Linked DNA regions of Saccharomyces cerevisiae S288C. The protein of the gene in region 2 interacts with the protein of the main gene of each other region in a biochemical or structural test. Each region holds a gene or a part of one and is shown on either strand. Other genes may lie near its edges. The genes, in order: PET111 and AIM23.

Region 1 (4,820 bases), on a different chromosome or scaffold from region 2:
GGGAAGAAGGATTGCAACTGTTACAAAGATTGGTCAATGAAATCACTGACTTGGACGTGATTGAAAGTCTTGACATCAAGGATCCTACCTTGTTTGAGTTATGTTCAGCAAAGTATTATCGCCTGTCAAGTTTAAAGAAGAGAGTAGTATATGGCGAAACTGGATTTGATGGTATCAAATTATGGCAAAACTTCAAAAGCTTAAAATGGCAATTACCTGAATCGTTGGATTTGCAAAACGTAATAATCCCTGAAGTGGGTGTAATGTTAATGAAGCAACTTAATGGAGGAGAGTTAGAAATAAAGGACGAAGCGTACTCAAGCCTAAGGGTCTTTGAATACTTTGATTCCCTGAACCTCCGCTTCAAGAATCTGCGCCGTTTGAAGCTTAATCATGTTCACAAACAAGGTGATGGGAGTGCTACTTCTATGAGATTATCTTCACGCGCGTTTAAGGATGTAGTTAATTTATCCAATCTTAAAGCCCTTGAATTAGAATTTTCTTGTGAGGTGGACGACTGTGAATGTGATGATGACTTTCTTCAAGATATAACAGGAAACCTTGTTTCCTTAACAAGTCTGGGGTTCATTGAAAAGACATTCACCAAAAAAGGGTACCATTACATGGACGAGAAATGGGACTTGGTCGTTAATAAGTTTATTTTAAATTTACCAAACGTGAGTAAAGATTTGCGTTTGTTAAGCATACGACATGACCCACCTTTAAATGGCAAGGGCATTGATACTGTTGATGGGAACTTGCTTCGCCGTAAAAAACTTTATGAAAAGGTTTTACCAAAGCTAACTTCGTTGGAAACAATAATAGCTCCAACTGTATTGCAGTCCATCACCTCATATGAAATGTATGCGTGTGACCTTTTGTGGAACGGCTGCAAATGTGCGTTCTGCTCCAAATACTTACCATTATTTGATAAGTACATCATGAATCATCAATACTTTTCGACCCCGGATGCAAGATACTTGGATATTATACCGATAGTGTTTGCAGCATATACTGGAAAATCTCTAGCTAAGAGGTTTGATCCTCAGAAGAACTGGGATTTGGATTTACTACAGTATGCCCCTGAGGATACGACGTGGAATTTCCATGGCTTTGAGAGAATTCATCACTTTGCAAGTTATGAATGTTATTTTGACGAATCCTCATTTGAGCCCTTAGCCACTATTATATCGCATTTTTTTTATCCTTACATGAACTACTTGATAAAGATATTGCCAAACCTTCGCCAAACTATGTTGTCAGGAATATACTTTAGCGTGAGCCCAGAATTACACACTTATGAAACTATTTATGATTAAACTTGATAGTTGTGATAAACATTTCTTATGTACATTTGTTGAAGGAGTTCGTATATATACAGCCAGTTGAGTAATAATTATATTTTACTATTGCATTTCATAATTATTACCCGGACCTTACGAGTTCTTCGAATAATAACCATATATTTCAGAAAGGTAGGCATACCGAAGGAAGAGACAATGAAAAAACTGAAATGAACAAGCTTCTGTATACGATCCAAGGATCAGAAACGGTTGTTATTTATTGTTTGGACTTCTTGTTGTTAGGCTTTATTTACCGTGCATAATACTATCTGATACTTTGAGAAACCCCTCCCCCCACAGAAAGGTTCAAAATTTACAATTGCTGCACTAGGTCTACACTTTCCTCTAGATTTGTAACTTGAAGACCCCATTCCAATCGTTTAACCTGTCTTTCCTTTTATTATCGTTTTATTCTCTTCCTTTTTTATAAAATTCTATCTGGTATAGAGCATTTTTATGTTGATCATAACTTTTCATGTATTCTATTAATTACACCACAACTTTGATATCGTCAAATTTTTTATCACTACCTATTAAATTTAAACAATTGCTTACGAGAACTTAATGTTACAACGGAGATTTATATCCTCCAGTGGTATAAAGAGATTACTTCACAGAGAATCAAACAAGGTTATGCACACTGTTTTCTTTAAAGTACGATATTACTCAACTGAGTTGATCAAAAAAAAGCATAAGGAAGATATTGAGGATTGGGTTAAAGCGCAACTAAAAGATTCTTCAACAATAAGCGGTGTGTATGAGTCTCGGAATAAACTCGATTGGATGGACTCCATTACCAAAAGCCCCAGCAGCTTAGATATTCTTAAGAATCAATATAATATAGTGAAAGACAAAGATTTTGGAATATTGTGGAAGCAAAAATTCGAAAGTGCAGATCCAGATATTTTGATGACAATAATTAGCCTTTCCACTAACCAAAAGGTTTTGTTTTCAATACAGCAATTACTGATCTTAATAAATTCTCTTCACTTTTTGAAAAGGGACTACGATATTGGACAAATATACACAACATATGAGCAATTCACGCCCTTATTAGCAAGCCACACTGATAAAGGCACATATGGTCAGTTCATCGAAATTATGTTGGTAGTACAGCATAATTTACATCATTTTGATGTCTGTGAAACTTTATTTGCAGAATATATCAAATATTGCAAAGTAAAGCCACAAATGATATCTTTAGGATTAAACTCTTTCATAAGGAGTAATAACACTCAACTAGCGGTGGAATTTTACACGCAAGCAATTACCAATCCTGATACATTTCCAATAACTGAAAAGCAGCTTTTTGAGTTTCTCCGATGTATGGAAAGATATCTAGATATGTCCAGTATGAAACACATCTTTTATCTCTGGTTGAAAGTGAAATGTGGTGATGAGCAATCCTCTTCAACTAACCTTCCCTCGTTCAAAACCCTCGCGATAATACACAGAATGTTATTACGTTTTTCTAATACAGATGAGCTAAACGATTTTTTAACCAATCCCGTTGTTTTAAGTACGGGATATACATCAAGTGTGCAGTTTGAGTTGATTGAATTTTGTCATTCTCTGTATTGCATCAAAGGAGACAGAACAAAAAGCATTGATGACTCAATATTGATGGAAAGAGTTGATAAATTTATTACCAGACTTAATAATAATATTTCAACACGAAAAGAGCTATATATGTCAGTGGTTCAAGCGTACGTCTCTACTAACAATTTCGAGAATTTAAAAGTAATCTTGGAAAAAATCCAGAGAGATAATGATATTAGCATAGACGGTTCGTTTCATTTGTGCATTTCTAGGTATTTTGTCAACACCAATCAATTCGAAGGACTTTTCAAATATTATCGCAGTGTAGTTAAAACCACTGATGGTAAAACGCGATTACGGCCCGCATTTATTCAACAATTATGGTCATGTGCCGTAAATGTTTATCCAATGCTGGCAAAAGAAATTACAAATGACCTACTTGTGACTCTAAAAAGGAGCCAATACAGCAAATGTCTCACTTGGGTGTACACATTTTTACAAGAAAATGCCCATATCCATACGAGAAAGATCAATGGAGGAGAAGACTCTTCGTTATCTGGTTTCAACGCGGTTGATTTTGAAAGGTTTGAAGAGTTCAAGAAAAAAGTTTCTCACAATGATGTATATGGAGCAGAATTGGTGATTTCGAATAGTTTGAAGGAGGGCATTGCGCCTCAATTTTCATTTTTGTATTCCGTTTTGGCATTATGCTTGAGAAACTCTTTAACTGGTTTGGCACGTGTAGTTGATGTGATATTAAGGACCAGATTCCGCTATATCCCACTAAAAGTCGATATATTATGGTTGAAATGGGAGATCATTTCTAATTATAGATCTTTTGAAAAGTTGTCTGCTGAACATTTAAAAGAACTGGAATTCAAACTGAAGGAATTTGAACGAGTACATCAAAAGGAGCTTTCAGTTCAAAACTATTTACAACTTACTCAAATATGTTTCCACACCCGTGATTTCAAATATGCATGTTACCTAATTTCACAAGCTAGAAAAAATTTGGATACTTCAAATAACAAACAGTGGATGATGTATTACATGACATCTTTAAAGTTGGCGTCAAGAATGCATGAAAGCGAACGGTTTAGTAGGATTTTAAAAGACTGGAATTGTAATCATAGGGCAAGCCTGATTACTCCAGGTTGCATTAGACAAATCAAAGGCTTTATGAAATATTTTGAGAAAAGGCCTGCTTACATTTCAACTGCTGCTTCCATTGATAACAAGGAGATAAAGGATCGCATTGACGAGTTAGTACTTAGATATGTGGACTATAAATACCAGGGGCTTGAGAATATGAGAAAGTTAACACTTTTCTTAAAAGAATGGTTTGATGAAGAGATTTCACTATTAAAGTTGGAGCAAAATGAAAGGAAAATGAAGCTTTTTGAAGAGAATAAAAAGGAGGAGGAGTAATCTTTTCAGTTATTTACCTTCCTTTCTCTCACGTGTAAATATTTGTGTGTCATACACACCGCTAAAAACCTTTGCATCAACTTATACCCTACATTTCTATAGACGCTATTTGGAAACAAGATGTAACCCTTTTTTTCTTTTAGTTTTGAGATTTGTACTCGTAAAGAGTACGTTTATTTATTTATTCAAATTTTATTCTTCATACCATGTAAATATAAGCGCATATAATCACTACGATCTTAGTACAGCTAGAATTGCTGACGCTTACAATTGCTTTATTGTTTGATTATATGCACGTATACATATAGTGTCAGCAAAAAAAAAAAAAGGCAGTACTTGATTGGCTACGCCGCGCATCGTCCGAGAAATCCGGCCTGGTAGGGGCAGGTTTGAAAAGGCGGATAGAAATAAAAGATGATATTATTTATTCATCCCATGAATAGTAGAACTCGATATAAGATTCTAAACCAACAAGTACAGAAAGCAAAACAATAATAAATAATGGCTAAT
Region 2 (3,689 bases):
AGGCAAAAGACCCTAGAGTGACTTGTGATGTCAATATTTATTCTTTGTTTATTGCCCAAGATGACTATCCGGAGGCAGTTTTCTTGCCTACTAAGGAAGATCAAGAGTTTTTCTGGAACAACCTTGATAGTATCGATGCTTTCTCTGTCGGTGCTCTTCCTGTCGCCTTGGCAAATGTCACAGGTAACAAGGTTGATGTTGGTATGGGTATCAAAGATTCATTACCACTATTGTTGGCTGCTGTTGAAGAAGGTAAATTAACCATTGATGATATCGTCCTTCGTCTGCATGACAATCCCGCTAAAATTTTCAACATCCCTACTCAGGACTCAGTTGTCGAAATTGATTTGGATTATTCTTTCAGACGTAATAAGAGATGGTCACCATTCAACAAAGATATGAACGGTGGTATTGAGCGTGTTGTCTATAATGGCGAAACATTAGTTTTGAGCGGTGAATTAGTTTCACCAGGCGCCAAAGGAAAATGCATTGTTAATCCAAGTCCAGCTTCCATAACTGCTTCCGCAGAGCTCCAATCTACTAGTGCTAAAAGAAGGTTCTCGATCACGGAAGAAGCAATCGCTGATAATTTAGATGCCGCGGAGGATGCAATTCCAGAACAGCCTTTGGAACAAAAATTGATGTCTTCAAGGCCACCAAGAGAACTTGTTGCTCCAGGCGCCATCCAGAATTTGATCCGTAGTAACAATCCATTCCGCGGAAGACATATATTGTCTATCAAACAATTCAAACGTTCTGATTTCCATGTGTTGTTTGCTGTTGCACAAGAACTAAGGGCAGCTGTCGCAAGAGAAGGTGTCTTAGATTTAATGAAAGGCCACGTTATTACTACAATTTTCTTTGAACCATCTACTCGTACTTGTTCTTCATTCATTGCTGCTATGGAACGTTTGGGTGGTAGAATTGTAAATGTTAATCCATTGGTGTCTTCTGTCAAGAAAGGTGAAACCCTTCAAGATACTATCAGAACTTTGGCTTGTTACAGTGATGCCATTGTCATGCGTCATTCAGAAGAAATGTCTGTTCATATCGCCGCTAAATATTCTCCTGTTCCAATTATTAATGGTGGTAATGGTTCTCGCGAGCATCCTACGCAGGCCTTCTTGGATTTGTTTACGATTCGTGAAGAAATCGGTACTGTTAATGGTATTACTGTTACTTTCATGGGTGATCTCAAACATGGTAGAACCGTACATTCATTGTGTCGTTTGTTAATGCACTATCAAGTCAGAATTAATCTTGTTTCTCCTCCGGAATTGAGGTTACCAGAAGGATTAAGAGAAGAGCTAAGAAAAGCTGGCTTACTTGGTGTTGAGAGCATTGAATTAACCCCTCATATCATCTCAAAGACCGATGTTCTGTATTGTACAAGGGTCCAAGAAGAAAGATTCAATAGCCCTGAAGAATATGCACGTCTGAAGGATACTTATATCGTGGACAACAAGATCTTGGCACACGCCAAAGAAAATATGGCTATCATGCATCCATTGCCTCGTGTAAATGAAATCAAAGAGGAAGTGGACTACGATCATCGTGCTGCTTACTTCAGACAAATGAAGTATGGTTTGTTCGTCAGAATGGCTTTGTTGGCCATGGTCATGGGTGTTGATATGTGAATGATAAGAGACCTATCCGTATTTTAAATTTATAATCTATTATTAAACTTTTTTAACCAATATTTTTATTTGTATATTACACTCAATAATATGATTTCCCAAAGTCGAGTTTTTATTTAAAACAAAAGATGGAATGATTTTGTAAACAAATTTTCTTGAGGAAACAAAAAATGTTTAAGGCATAGGAGTTGAAGGTAATCTCGTTCCTTTTGTCTAGTTTTCATCCTGAGCTCTTGAATTTTACCTGAATTTTCCCGCGACGGTAAGAACTTTAAGGGTCTAAAAAAGTAAGTTCAGAAAACTATAACAGCTATATATCACAAAATGCATACCTGATGCATACACAGTAAGGAGGTAACATCAGGTCCGTGGATATGTTAAAAGTTCCTTTGAGTGATGTTCTTTCACAGAAGATGCTGTTTTTAAAAAGTTTTAGATATTTTCATTGCACAAAATACTTCAGCAGAGACAATGCATCATCTACCACAGATATATTTCGCAACGCAATGAAACGTAAACGTGAGCTGGCAAATCTTAAAGAGCAAAGTCATGGAAATGTGGCAAGAAATGCTGCTTTTCCTAAAGAGTATATTAAGCGCCCGAAACAAGTGCCAAGGAATGCTACTAACAGGAAAAAAATCCTGATTACTTGGAGCACCGGGACAGATCGAGCTAAAGAGGCAGCTAATTCAGTTGTTAGTGAGATATTCAAAAAAAATCACAAGGGAAACATCAAAGTTGTGGATCCCACTACCCACCGAATTGAAGCATCCAATATTCGGTATTTTGCCAAGGGCATTGATCTCGATAAAGTTGGACTCAGTATTGTTAATGTAGAGCAAATCGATAATGAAAATCAAATTCCACTTGTTAAGATAGTCGAAAGTCGTGTAGCCTTAAAAAAATATTCAGACTTTCTGGCTAAAAAAAAGGAAAAGGAACTGATGGAATTGGGAGTACTGAATAAGTCTTACAAGAATTTGGTGACTGATAAAAAAGAAGATAACTTGAAGCATATTAAAATATCATGGCAGATTGAAAGCGATGATTTAAAAAGGCAGAAGGCTCACGAAATAGTTTCGCTATTGAAAAAAGGGAATAAAGTAACGTTATATCTTGATGACAAGAATAACATAAATTCAAACAATTGGCTTGAAAATTTTGAGGAGCTGGACCGCTCTCAAAAAGGTGAACCACCCAGGCTACCAGAATCAGTTTTCCAGAAAAGAGCTGCTGTCTTGGAGACATTGAAAGAGATAGTTAGCGAATATGCTAATGATCCTGTTCTGCTAGGTAACATGAACTCGAAAATGATAATGAAACTTATACCAAAGGACGTTAAACCACAAAACAACGATAAGAGGGCGTTAAAGGAATTGAGAAAGAAGGAGAGGCAAGAAAAATTGCAAAAAAGGATTCAGAGAAAAAAAATGAATGAAATGTAAATAGAAGCAAATGACATCAGAATATATATAGCGCATATTGCCAAATATGCTTTTCAAGTATTAAATTAATGTAATTGAACTAAACCGATGCTTGTACATAATAACTTATCATTAAAGTACCAGGATTCTACCGGTTAGCTGCATGTGATCAAAATTTCCATACCCATATTGGGGAATGCCTACTATAAGGTGATTTTGGGGACCCAAAATCATGCTATTACCAAAATTTGACACACCCTTGCTACTTTTGTCAGGATTTATGAGCATGAGATGCCTTAAATTATTAATCAAAAGGGTTTTGCGCTTCGGATCGTTTCCCGCCTTTAATAGCTCATCCATACTAATTTTCCATATACTTCCTCTTGCATCGAAACTGCCTGGGGAGGAAACGTACAATTTCTTTTCTTCGTCATTAAACAGCAAAGATGAACCAAACTCATCCGGGATTGAATCTGATTTTGTCTTAATCTTTAGAACCAGTTTTAAGAAAAACTCTATTTGCCCAGACTTCTCAATATATATAAACACAGTGTCAAACATTGGTTGAGATACGGCTACAAAACTCATACCTTCAAAATTCCAAGAATATATGGCTGCACCGAACATA

What was found.
Region 1: the proteins of AIM23 (region 2) and PET111 form a complex in vitro, tested with the Saccharomyces cerevisiae proteins (one study listed by BioGRID).

The regions. Positions count from the first base shown.
Region 1 is NC_001145.3:779,119-783,938, reverse strand, and holds PET111 (Pet111p), read left to right. Parts: upstream 1-1,907; coding exon 1,908-4,310; downstream 4,311-4,820. Other genes in the region: ROY1 (Roy1p), read left to right, coding at 1-1,319; COX7 (cytochrome c oxidase subunit VII), read left to right, coding at 4,812-4,820. UniProt on the Saccharomyces cerevisiae protein: Required for translation of the mitochondrial gene for cytochrome c oxidase subunit II (COX2).
Region 2 is NC_001142.9:163,671-167,359, reverse strand, and holds AIM23 (Aim23p), read left to right. Parts: upstream 1-2,011; coding exon 2,012-3,082; downstream 3,083-3,689. Other genes in the region: URA2 (bifunctional carbamoylphosphate synthetase/aspartate transcarbamylase), read left to right, coding at 1-1,637; YJL132W (uncharacterized protein), read right to left, coding at 3,194-3,689.